3 linked regions of the Sus scrofa genome follow. The protein of the gene in region 2 purifies or fractionates together with the protein of the main gene of each other region. This does not show direct contact. Links are inferred from orthologs where the notes say so. Each region holds a gene or a part of one and is shown on either strand. Other genes may lie near its edges.

Region 1 (3,530 bases), on a different chromosome or scaffold from region 2:
TCCATGCAGATGACGACAACCCGCCCGTGTCCTTCGTGAAGTTCTCTCCGAACGGCAAGTACATCCTGGCCGCGACCTTGGACAAGTAAGCCCTCTGTCCCCGTGCGGGCGGGTTACCAGGGCCATCGCCCCAGGGCCAGGATCCCAGAAAGACACCCGCTCCAGTGCCCGCACGGAGCCTGCTGGGTGCAGGCTGCTGATGTAGGCACCCTGCTGGGATGGTGGGCATGGCGGCCTCCCGGTGCTGCCCGCTCTGCCCGGGCGCCCTGCTCCTAACACGCTTCGGGTGGGTGTCCCGGCCGTCCACTGCCCTCCTGGAGGCGGCTGGCGCTCGGCCTCCCCGGGCACTGTGGGAGCCCTCGGGTGGGCTCACAGGGTCGGCCCCCACAGGAGGAGGAAGGACTGTCCGCCGAGGTCTGTTCTGGACGTGTCCGCAATGGGGCTTCCTGAGCCCTTTTCTCGCAGGGACGTGGACCCCTTCCCGGCTCGGGGAACGCTTAGTAGCTTCCTTTAACCAAGCCTCTTGGGGAGTTAACGTGTGGCTCGACAGGTTAAGGACTTGGCACTGCAGTAGCTCAGGTTCGATCCCTGGCCCAGGAATTTGCACACGCCTCGGCCGAGGCCAAGTGAAAAACAGTGTCTTGGGGTTCCCGCGCTCTGCTCCCAGGTGTCCTTGCTCTGTGGACCCTGGGCTGGGCGCGGGCACCGGAGAGGGTGGGTCCTCGGGGGCTCGGCTGACACGCCCTCTCCCCGCAGCACGCTGAAGCTCTGGGACTACAGCAAAGGGAAGGTGAGCGCCGGGACGGGCTGGCGGAGGGTCGTGCTGGGGCTGGGGCCGGGGCCACGGCTGGGCCGGGGTGGGTTGTGCTCAGAGCGGCTCCGTTGGCTGAAAGGTACCTGGATGGGTTACCCCGGGGTGCAGGGGGGCGCCACTGAGCGGACGGGCCCTGCTGTTTCAGTGTCTGAAGACGTACACCGGCCACAAGAATGAGAAGTACTGCATATTCGCGAATTTCTCTGTCACTGGCGGGAAGGTGAGTCATGTCCCTGCTGGGGGTTCTCCCCGGCCCCTCTGGGGCGCTTTTTAACCCAGTGCAGCCCCGCTGGTGGCATCCTCAGCGGGCCTTCCCATTGCGTCCTCTTCAGGGCCACAGGCTCCTTTGCGATGCCGAGGGTGTCAGCACCTTCTGGGAGTCAGGGACCCTGGCAGGCTCTGGCGTCTGGTCCCCGGGGCTCCCCGCCTCTCAGGCTCAGGCTGCGGGGGAGATGGTGACGGCAGCCCTGATTGGAGCAAACAGTTTATGTCCTAGAAGTGGCGGGTGCTGGTGCGGCATCGGGACAGGAGATGGGCGGAGACCCACACGGGGAGGGGTGCTGGTACTGCTGGTCCCCAGGCACGCGCCTGACACCCTCCCGCCCCGTGACAGTGGATCGTGTCGGGCTCGGAGGACAACTTGGTTTACATCTGGAACCTGCAGACGAAAGAGATTGTGCAGAAGCTGCAGGGCCACACGGGTGAGCTCTCCCCCACGGAGGGACCAGGTCCTGTGAGCATCCTCCTGCCTCTGCTCCTCGGCCCCCTGGGAGCCGGGGGCTCTGTTTGGAGCTGTGGGTCTGAGCGCCCGCAGGCCGAGCCCGAGTGTGGCTTTAACCTCTCCTCCGGCCCTTGACGTCCTTGTGGGCCCTGTGGTCTGTCCCCGTGGAGATGGTACAGGGACCCGGGCTGCCTGCCGTCTGCTCTGCCGGCTGGCTCCTTTCCAGGCTCTGACCTCCTGCCCGCTCCTGTCCCCTGTGTGGAGTACCTGGGCAGCCCCTAAGCCCCCCCCCCCGCCCTCCCCACTCCTGCTCAGTGCAGAGTGGTGTCCAGCCGTGGAGAGTCTGATGAGAGTGTGCGACTCTGCCTAAGGAAGCCACGCCACTGCCTGAGGTCCTGGCCTGAGCTTGGAGGTCCGTGCTGGCCTTCAGCTTCCGCACCTGGCCTGTTGCTTCTGCCCTGCTGTGGGCAGGATGCTCAGGCTTATTTGAAACCACTCAGGCAAGAGGGAAGATTCTGGGGTTCAGTTGTCTTTTTAGGGCCGCACCTGCGGCATATGGCGTTCCCAGGGTAGGGGCTGAATCAGAGCTGCAGCTGCTGGCCTCCTCCACAGCCACAGCAATGCCAGGGATCAAACCTGCGCCCTCATGGATACCAGTCAAATTTCTTTCCGCTGAGCCATGATGGGAGCTCCCAAGGGGCTGAGTTAATTTCAGAGCTGCAAAGTGTTAACCTGACGGACCCCAGGCGCCAGCCCCGGGGGTGAACTTGCAGCGCAGCCCTGCGGGCGTCCTCTGCTCCGCGGCGGGGAGCGCGTGGGTGCGCCGGTTTGGGTCCCGGTGCAGAGGGCGCGATGTCGATGCCGTGAGACGGACCCCGGCTGTGCCTCTGGCTTGTGAGGGGCCCCAGTCTCTGGGCTCGGCGCTGGGCAGCCTCCGGGCCCAGGCCGGTGCTGAGCACCTCGCGGCCCACTGTCCAGGCCTGGTGACCTGAGCTCTGGGCTCGGACGCCCTGGGGCGGGGCAGGGCTGCGGGGCGGGGCCACGGGGCGGGGCCGCGGAGGGACCGTGGTGCCTCTGCTTTCAGACGTGGTCATCTCGACGGCCTGCCACCCCACAGAGAACATCATCGCCTCGGCCGCGCTGGAGAACGACAAGACCATCAAGCTCTGGAAGAGCGACTGCTAGGCCCGCGGGCGCGGGGCTGTCGGGACGCCCAGCCGGGCTGGCGAGAGCTCGGTGCTCGAGGGGCTCCCTGGTCCAGGCCTGGGGACTGGAGGCGCCTGGGCCTGCGCCGCCTCCGAGGACGGCTTGGCCGAGGGCCGTGTCCTCCGCAGAGGTTCTCGGAGCTGCCGGTGGCGATTCTTGCCAATGCCTGTCTTGTTGGCTGGGGAAGAGTTAGAGTCTGTATTGTGTTCGGAGGCCACAGAAATTTCTAATTTTTTATTACAAAAGGTGAAGTTCAATTTATCACGAGTTGTGTTTTTTTCCAGTAACTGTTCTGTGCATTTTATCACCCAGTGCAAGTGCTGGACCAGTCGCCACCACGGTGTGTGGGCGCCAGCCTCGCCCACCCGGCCTCAGAGGGGCCCCCTCGTGGGTCCAGTGACCTCTCTGGGGACCCCCACCCGGTGTTGGTCCTGCCCGCGCTCGAAAGCAGCGTGTCTGCAGCGTGTCTGCCCACGTGCCTTTGGCATCGGGGCCGTTGTCCCCGTGCTGCCAGCGTGGGGGTCACCCTGGGCGCTTCTGTTTGTCCCTCTGGTGGTCACACGCAGGCAGCGCCCCAGCGGTGATAAAGGTGGCAGCCTGGGCGAGTGGCCGCCGGGTTCTCACACAGAGCTTTGCTCGCTCTTTTGTGGAAAGCCTCGCGGTCGGCAGGAGGTTGAGAGGACGCCTCTCAAAAGACAGGTCCGAGGGATGCGCCACTCCTTGTCCACGCGGGCTCGAGGGCCCCTGCAGGCTGGTGGCCTGTGGATGTGGGGGCGCAGGACGGAGGGG
Region 2 (4,298 bases):
TCACAGACCACAGCCGGGCTCCGAATCGCCCCCTGCAACCTACTTCTCTCCAGAGGTCCCCACCTCGGGCCTCAAACTGTAGGACTTGTTCTCCTTCCTCAGGCCCAGCACCCATGCCGGCTGCACTCCGCACGCACCATTTCCAAGCCCTTCGGCCGCCACCCATGCCACTATGGAAGTCACCCTCCCCTGCATTCTTCACAGTGCTGGCCGCCTCACCGGACCCTGGCCTCCTGCCCTTGCCCCCCCTACAGTCTATCCTAAATACAACAGTCAGAGGGATCCCTTTCAAACACAAGTCAGACCCCATCCATCCTCTGCTCTAAACCTCTGATGGCTCCCAATTTCCCTCCAAGTGAAAACCAAGTCCTTACAATGGCCTATGAGGCCCAAAACAATGTCTCTGCCACACCCACCTGCCAAACCTCATCACTCGCCCCCCTCATCCATTTAGCACTGCCCTCCCCAGCTTTCCTCAAAATTTCTCAAACATGCCATGGTCACCCCCAGGCCTTTGCACTTATTATTCCCTGGCTGGCAACCCTTCCCACAGACATCCTTGCCTCACTCCTTTATTCCCTGTGGGTCTCTGTTCACATGGTCTCTTATCAGTCAAATGACACCTTATCGGTGACTGCTTCCTTGACCAAACTTTTAGTTTGGGGTGGGGGGCAGGGTTTGAGCAGCAGCTTGATGTGGGACCTCAGTTCCCAGACTAGGAATTGAACCTGGGCTGCAGCAGTGAAAGCACCAGGTCCTAACCAGGAAGCTCCCTTGACTATTTAAAATAGCAGCCCCACAGCGGAAGATCCTAACTCCCTTATTTTCCTCCACAACACTCAGCACCTGGGGACACACGTGAATACACTTAGTTTCTTCTTGTTCTCTTCCCACTGGCATGTGTCAAGGAGCCAGCGACCTTTTGCTCCCTGTTAAAACCCCAGGCTCTAGAACAGCACCTGAAGCTCAGTAATACTTTAATGGAAATGTTTAGCAAGGACTATGGGCCAAGCACTGCGCATGCAACACTTTACTGCTCATGTCAACCCCGTCAGAAGGGGCTGTTAATTCTGAAGCACAAAAGTAACCGCATAGGCCAGAACAGTCCCTAAGCAATAACAGAAAACAAACATCTCATATGATAGCACTGTTTTTAGATACCTAAAGTAACTCTATTTCAGTTCTTTTGTTTGTTTTTTGCTTTTTTTTTAGGACCAGGCTTGCTGCATATGGAAGTTCCCAGGCTATGGGTGGAATCAGAGCTGCAGCTGCCGGCCTACACCACACCCACTGCAACTGGGGATCCAAGCCGTGTCTGCGACCTACATCACAACTCATGGCAACCCGGATCCTTAACCCACTGAGTGAGGCCGGGGGTCGAACCCACAGCCTCAGGGATGCTAGTTGGGTTACCGATGAGTCACAGCAGGAACTTGGGAGTTTCAATGCTTGAAGTAACACAAAGTGATCCCATTTTACCCTCATATCAGTCACACCAGGTAAGTTTTCTAACTCTCACCATTTTACAGAAAAGGAAAGAACACTAAAGATATCCCCACAGCATCTAGCACGATGACAACTACCATGACAGTTAAGATGTGATAAACTCATATACGAAATTGTGTCAAGTGTTTTCTAAAAGCTGAAGGGCGTGGATGGGGGGCGGGGACGCTCTGTGCTCCAGAGAATGGAGGGCAGGCTTCGGGGGCTGTATTTACCCGAACTCTGTTGATGCCACCATAGTGCGGCACCATAGCCAACTCTAGCTGAGGCTTTCGCTCTTCTTCATCCTCTTCATCCTCCTCCTCCTCTTCATCACTGCCCTCTGATGGCGGGGGCTTTGTCCCATGCAAATTGTGCATTCGAAGCATCATCAATCTGGCGGAAGTGTGGGATGAAATGAGGCCCTGGATACCAGGATCCTTGGGAAGAAGGGAGTGGGGAGGCTGGAAACCCCCCTATTTCTAGGTGCGGGGGCCGCGGGGGGGGCCGCGGGGGGGGGAGCCGCGGGGGCGGGGGGCTGAAGGCTCAGACTCCTGGTCGAAGTAAAGGCCCAGTTCTCACCTGTTGCTTTGGGCGCTCTCTGCCTGGGTTCCAGCACACAGGTAAAGTGTAAGAGGAAGCTCAGTCCGGTTGTCTCCCAGGTGATCCCGGACTATGTCGAAGCTGAGGCAGGGGGCGCCTGGGGATGGAAGGAGCGGTTGGAAAATTAGGATGGGACATAAGTATCTCAGGCCCTAATAGCCAGAGGTATCTCTTGAGTGTGGTGTCAATTCTCTTAGACCCCAGTTTCCTCTTTCAGAGCGCCTCTTAAGTTAAAGGCTCAGGACCGGCTCCCCTCGGGAACCCCAGTTTCCCCTTTCAGAGCGCCTCTTAAATTAAAGGCTCAGGACCAGCTCCCCTCAGGACCCAGATTTCCAGTCCCTCCTTGCTCTGGCCCCGGGAAGTCCGAATGCCCCAGCCCTACCAGTCTGTGCTCGGTGGTACAGCACGTAGGCCTCCTCGTCCATGACCAGCTCCTCTCCCTCACGCAGTGGCGGTCCCCGGCCCGGTAGGTAGACCTGGGGAGGGCCCTCGGACCCTGCATCGTGGGACTCAGCCTCCATGGGCTCCCCAGTTTCACACGTGCGCCGCCGCCCCTTGCGCGCTGCCATCTTCCAACCCGTTCGCAGCCGGCGCGAGGTAAGAGCGTCACTTCCGGGTTGCGTTGCCTTCTTATGAGATCCGCCCTGCTGCGTGGTTACCTTGGAAACCCCCGGGTTCGCTGATTAGAGAGGGCGATGGGACCGGGTGAAGGAGAACTGACATAATCGTGTCCTGGTCCAGCTAGCGAGGCCTGCGGATCTGGAGAATTACCCCCTCCCGGTGACTTTGCGGAGTTCCTCCGCAGAGCCGCGGCAAGGCCTCCTGGGAGTTGTAGTTCTACGGGAGGCCTGTTTTTTCCTCATCAGCTAGAGGAGGTCCAAGCCCAGACACCATCTTCCACTTTTGACTCCCAAGGCATTCTTTCCACTTAATTAATTATTCGTGTATGCAAATAATCCTAGCTAGGAGACTAGGTTTCTGCTCCCTTAGGACCAATAAAGCCGGTTTCTTCTCCCCTCCTTATTCTTCCCCCGCTTCTTGTTATGAAGGCTTTAATTCATTTCCAAATGCTTAAGTAGAGTGAGGATGAGTTGCCTCATCAGGCGTTCACGTTGCAGCTGTGGTCAGCAAGCACTTAATCAGAAAGCCCACCCTCTGGAGGCAGCTATTACAAGTGTTTCGGCTCTTTTTATTGCCCATTAGCACCAGAGGTTTGGCTAATTGGCATAATGAAATGTTAGAACTAGGTTCTCATTGGTGAGCTTCACAACATTGAAGATTTGTGGATTGGCTGGGATATAATAGGCACTCTCCTCACTTGCCTGAACAGGATATTAAGAACCTAGCAAACCTCATTGCCTGTTGCCATAGGAATGGTACCCTCTAGGATGTTTTGAATCCCAGATCTTTCTTGAGTTCTCTGTCCCCCTTCTCTTAACGCCTCCACCCCTTCTTAGCTCGTCTCTTCTCATGGCTTCTTTCTGGGTCTTCACCTCCCGCCTCCCTCTGGGGTCTCTGTTCTTGCTCAAATTCTCTTTCTGCACCCTCTTCCTCTGAGGGACTTTTCTCAGTTTCTGTTTCCTCCGGAGAAGTTTGAGGGGACTGAGACAGGCATGGATCTCACACTTGGCTTGAGGAGGCATAAAAACATGGTTTATTCCAAACACTGCAATGTGGGACAGGAGAGTGGCCAGGGAGGTTGGTAGTGAGTGTGAACTCCCAGATCCCTCCCTTCCACAACCCATTTCCAGACCCGGCTGGAGATCTGGGAAGAGGAGGCTTTTGGGGGGCTGCTGGGTGATTACTGAAGGGGCACAAATAAAGGTTGGACTTGGAGAGTATATGGTTGGTGGCACCTGGGCCTGGTAGTGAGGTGCGAAAGGGTGGGAGGTTTTGGCCTGATGGAGGTTGGGATCAACGCTGGGGCAGGGGAGGCGGGGCTTCCGTTGGGGGTGTGTCCTAGGGCAAAAGAGGGAAAAGCTACCGAGGTTGGTTGGAAAAGGGTGGGGTGGGGAGGGTGTCACGGTTAGACGTCGAGGGGCACAGTCTGGTCGGGGCACAGTCTGGGGGTGGAGTCACAGTTTGGGGTCAGGGGTCACAGTCTGGGGTCGGATGACCATTTTTAGGGGTCGGAAGTCACAGTCTGGGGTCAGGGGTTTCTGTGTGGCGGGGCCAAGGTCTGGGGTCACAGTTTGGCGAACGCGTCTCACAGT
Region 3 (3,641 bases), on a different chromosome or scaffold from region 2:
CTAAAAGAGCAGGAGGAAGAACTGCAGGCAAGATGCACGCGCCCTATGCAAGCCCTTGAGCCTGCGAAGGGCGGTCCCGGAATCCCCCCTCCTTCCAGTCCCAAAGCAGCCGTGCTGTCCAGGCCCAGAAAGCCCTGGCAACAGCACCGAGTGTCTCTGCCCTGAAGATACATTCTCGCGTCGCACGGCGGCGCCGCCGGGCCTCAGGCCACGTAGTGGTACTGGTTCGGACTGTCCTTGTCCCGCTCCATGTAGTCTCTGTCGATGAGGGACTCGATCCTCTTCTTCAAATCTCCGGGCTGGAAAAGAAAAACACACCCCTGATGAGAGCGGCCACGCCAAGGGGGCGAGCGTGGGCGTGGGACGGCGGCACCCCCAAACACGCATCTCCCGGGATGCGAGCGCGCCAATGTCCTGTGGTGGGCAAAGGGCTTCCTTCCGCGGGCGGGTGACGCGGCTCAGAGGTGAACGCCCTGAGGTCACCCGCAGAGCCTGGCCCTCACTCGTGTCTGGAGGGGACTCAGGCCCTTGGGCGTGTCCACCTCTGTGGACAGTTCTCCCCAGTTGCTGTATTTGTCACCTGTCTTTGCTGCACACGCTCTGGGCACAGAGACACCAGACCCGTGTGCTCCTTCTCCAGACAGGCAAGGGAGTCCACGCGCCCAGCACGGGTGTGGGGGGCCTGGCTGCTGCCTCTCAGGGCGCAGGCTCCCCTCAGCGCCCCCCTCGTCCACGCTGAGCAGGGCTGCAGCCCCAAGCCGGTCCTCGCGGCTTCCCCTCCCCAGCCCTCCGCCCAGGAGCACAGAGCACCGCCCAGCGTCCTCCCCGAGCCACGTGGATGGGACAACTCCGGGTCGTAGAACTTCCCGCCCAGAAGCGCGGGTGGTGGGCTCGGTGGCCGGCTGATGGGCCAGTTCCCAGGGGGATGCTTGGCCCCCAGCTTGCCTGGCACCCCCCCGCCGGGCAGGACAGTGACCCCGGCGGGGACCTGCCCTGGCCAGCAGGCTCTGGGGCACCAGCAGCACGTCACAGCCAGGGGCGTCTGGGTGAGGCCCCGCTGGCCGCAGCAGACGCACACAGAAGCTTCCTGGGGCGAGTGGCGGGTGCTCTGCAGGTGTCTGGCAGACGCGCGAGCTGGCCACGCGCCGGCCTTACCTTGACCGGGAACTTCAGCTGGTTGTACAGCTCGGAGACCAGCAGGTTGTGGCCCAGCGTCTTGCGCATCTTCATGATCCTGACGATGGCGGCGTCGATCTGGTACTGCCGGTCCTGGAACACGCGCTCCGTGGTGCTCACCTGCTCCTCCACCTGCTCGGGACAAGGGTGCGCAGGCGTGCTCACCTGTGCTGGGGCGGCTGCGCCTCCGGGTAGGAGAGAGGCCCAACTGCGCACCAATCCCGCCCCGCTGTGCACTTGGTTTGTTCTAGTAAAACTGCTTAACTTCGGAGCCAAACCTTGACAAGCTTTTGCGCCTAAAAAGTTATAAACTGTATACGATCCTGGCTGAGGTCCCGTGGTGCCACAGAGAAAGGACAAAGCCCAGCAGCCATGGGACGGACCCCAGGCGCGTCGGCCTGGCTCAGTGTCAGGACACCCCGAGCCCTCGTGAAGCTCCCGGACAGGATCCCGGGGTCGCGCCACGACTGCTCATCCGGACAGACGGTCCGAAGGGAGGCGGAACAGAAGTCCGCACTCGCCTTGAAGCTCAGTGGGGAAGGTTTCAAAAGAAAGGCCTGGGACAGGCTGAAGAGCGGGTCCCAGAAGCACGTGCTGAGCCGCCTCCCGTCAGCAGCCCGACTGCTCACAGCCCCGGCCAGCGTCACACCAGCTCTAAAGGGGAGCAGTCGAGGACTAGAGAGATCTCCTCATCTGTACGAGCAGCTCAACGGCGCACAGATGCCCCCAGGACCCAAGGAAAGCCACACGAAAGTGGCCAGAAGTACTCTGGGCCTGTGACAGTGGGGTGGGCCGAGGTGGGCGGGGGCGGGACCCCGTGAGGCTTCCACTCAGTTGCGCTTCCACTCAGGAGACAAGCCGACCAGGGGCACAGGAGTGTCTGCGCAAAACAGTCGTCTTCCCGGAAACGGAAACACGCAGCTGCCTTTCAGCAAGGGTCCCGTCGAACTCTGCGGGTGAGCCCCGAGGATGCTCTGATCCGATCTGCCCGGTGGATTCTGCCACACCCTTAAAACCAAGCCCTGCCACGGAAGGAGGCCCAGGGCATCGCCTGACAAGGAGCGACACAGGGTGCAGGGAACGGTGCAGAGAGTGCACAGGAAGAGGGGTTTCGCACACACATCAGAGAAAAAGGCTGAGTGTGAACAGGTGGCAGGACAGACCAGCCCACCTCGGAACGCTAAGTCCAGAAGCTCACGCCCTTTGATCACTCTGGTAGCTATCGTAGGAAAGATGAAACAGGGGTTCCTGGCGTGGCTCAGTGGTTAACGAATCCGACTAGGAACCATGAGATTGTGGGTTCAATCCCTGGCCTTGCTCAGTGGTTAAGCATCCGGCGTTGCCGTGAGCTGTGGTGTAGGTCGCAGATGTGGCTTGGATCCTGCGTTGCTGAGACTGTGGCGTAGGCCAGCAGCTATAGCTCCAATTAGACCCCTAGCCTGGGAACCTGGGAACCTCCATATGCCGCAGGTGCGGCCCTGGAAAAAGACAAAAAGATTAAAAAAAAAAAGGAAAGACGGAACAAACGCCACAGGCATTAAACCTTCACAGACGTGTCAAATGACCCACTAGCAGCGCTGTACGCGTCCAACAGCTCTTAAAAAATAAACACATAAAGCTGCTTCCTCATGTCGCTGCCCACTTGGGATATTATCAAACTTTACGTTTCCCAAATTGATGGACCAGAAAGAGAACCTTCTCTTAACCTGACACGGGAAATGACTGCCTAGCGCAGGCATCCAGGTGCATTTGCTGCACTTACTGGCCTCCTGTGTTTCCTCCTGCGTAACCTGAGTGGACCGGCCCCCACCTCGGACCATCAGAGTCGCCGCCCTGCTGGGACCGACCCCCTGCTCCAAAGGCCATACCTCCTGTGCTGCAGGTCCCAGGGGCAGCTGACACCTGCTCTGAGGGGCTCCAGGGTGCGCCGGGCTCCGCCTCGGGAAGGGCCCCGGCAGCCGTCCAGAACCTGCTCCGAGCCGAACCCTGGAGTGTCTGATCGAAGCTCAGACGCTCCATCCATGCGGGTCACAGACTCGACACCCGTGGGCCGAGTGGCAGGACCCTCCCACGTCCACCCCAGGAGCCCGGCCGAGGCCAAGGGCTGGCTGCTCACAGAACCCCGGCGACGAGGCTCTGACGGATCGCACCGTTCGGTGACGTGCCCCTCCTTCGGATTCCCACTCCCACTGTGAGCCTGTCGGGAACCGACGTTCCTCTCCCAGGCACCGCGGCGCCGTCCGACCCAGGGAGAAGTGACTGCAGGCTACCGGTCTCGGGGCCCACGCGCCGCCTGGGTAAGAGGAGCAGGGTACGTACGGTCTCCTTCATCTGAATCTGATTGATCTTTATCCGGAACAACTTGTGCTTGAAGTCCCCGTTGAAAAAGAACTTGTCTCCGTCTTCCACCTCCTTCCCTTTGGGACTCTTGATCAGAACCCGAGCTTTGCCGCAGGCCAAGGACT

The links.
Region 1: the proteins of GRWD1 (region 2) and WDR5 purify together in Homo sapiens (affinity purification with western blotting; 3 studies listed by BioGRID and IntAct, with this or other methods). This does not show direct contact. The link is inferred for Sus scrofa from reciprocal best matches to the Homo sapiens genes GRWD1 and WDR5.
Region 3: the proteins of GRWD1 (region 2) and CUL4A purify together in Homo sapiens (affinity purification with western blotting; 4 studies listed by BioGRID, with this or other methods). This does not show direct contact. The link is inferred for Sus scrofa from reciprocal best matches to the Homo sapiens genes GRWD1 and CUL4A.

The regions. Positions count from the first base shown.
Region 1 is NC_010443.5:273,573,548-273,577,077, forward strand, and holds the end of WDR5 (WD repeat-containing protein 5), read left to right. Parts: exon of another isoform or gene 1-9; coding exon 10-85; exon of another isoform or gene 86-756; coding exon 757-790; intron 791-959; coding exon 960-1,034; exon of another isoform or gene 1,035-1,427; coding exon 1,428-1,515; intron 1,516-2,619; coding exon 2,620-2,720; 3' UTR 2,721-3,008; downstream 3,009-3,530.
Region 2 is NC_010448.4:53,848,216-53,852,513, reverse strand, and holds the start of GRWD1 (glutamate-rich WD repeat-containing protein 1), read right to left. Parts: upstream 2,842-4,298; 5' UTR 2,655-2,841; coding exon 2,468-2,654; intron 2,183-2,467; coding exon 2,065-2,182; intron 1,879-2,064; coding exon 1,719-1,878; intron 1-1,718. UniProt on the Homo sapiens protein: Histone binding-protein that regulates chromatin dynamics and minichromosome maintenance (MCM) loading at replication origins, possibly by promoting chromatin openness.
Region 3 is NC_010453.5:78,584,404-78,588,044, reverse strand, and holds part of CUL4A (cullin-4A), read right to left. Parts: coding exon 3,496-3,641; intron 1,309-3,495; coding exon 1,156-1,308; intron 300-1,155; coding exon 204-299; 3' UTR 1-203. UniProt on the Homo sapiens protein: Core component of multiple cullin-RING-based E3 ubiquitin-protein ligase complexes which mediate the ubiquitination of target proteins. As a scaffold protein may contribute to catalysis through positioning of the substrate and the ubiquitin-conjugating enzyme.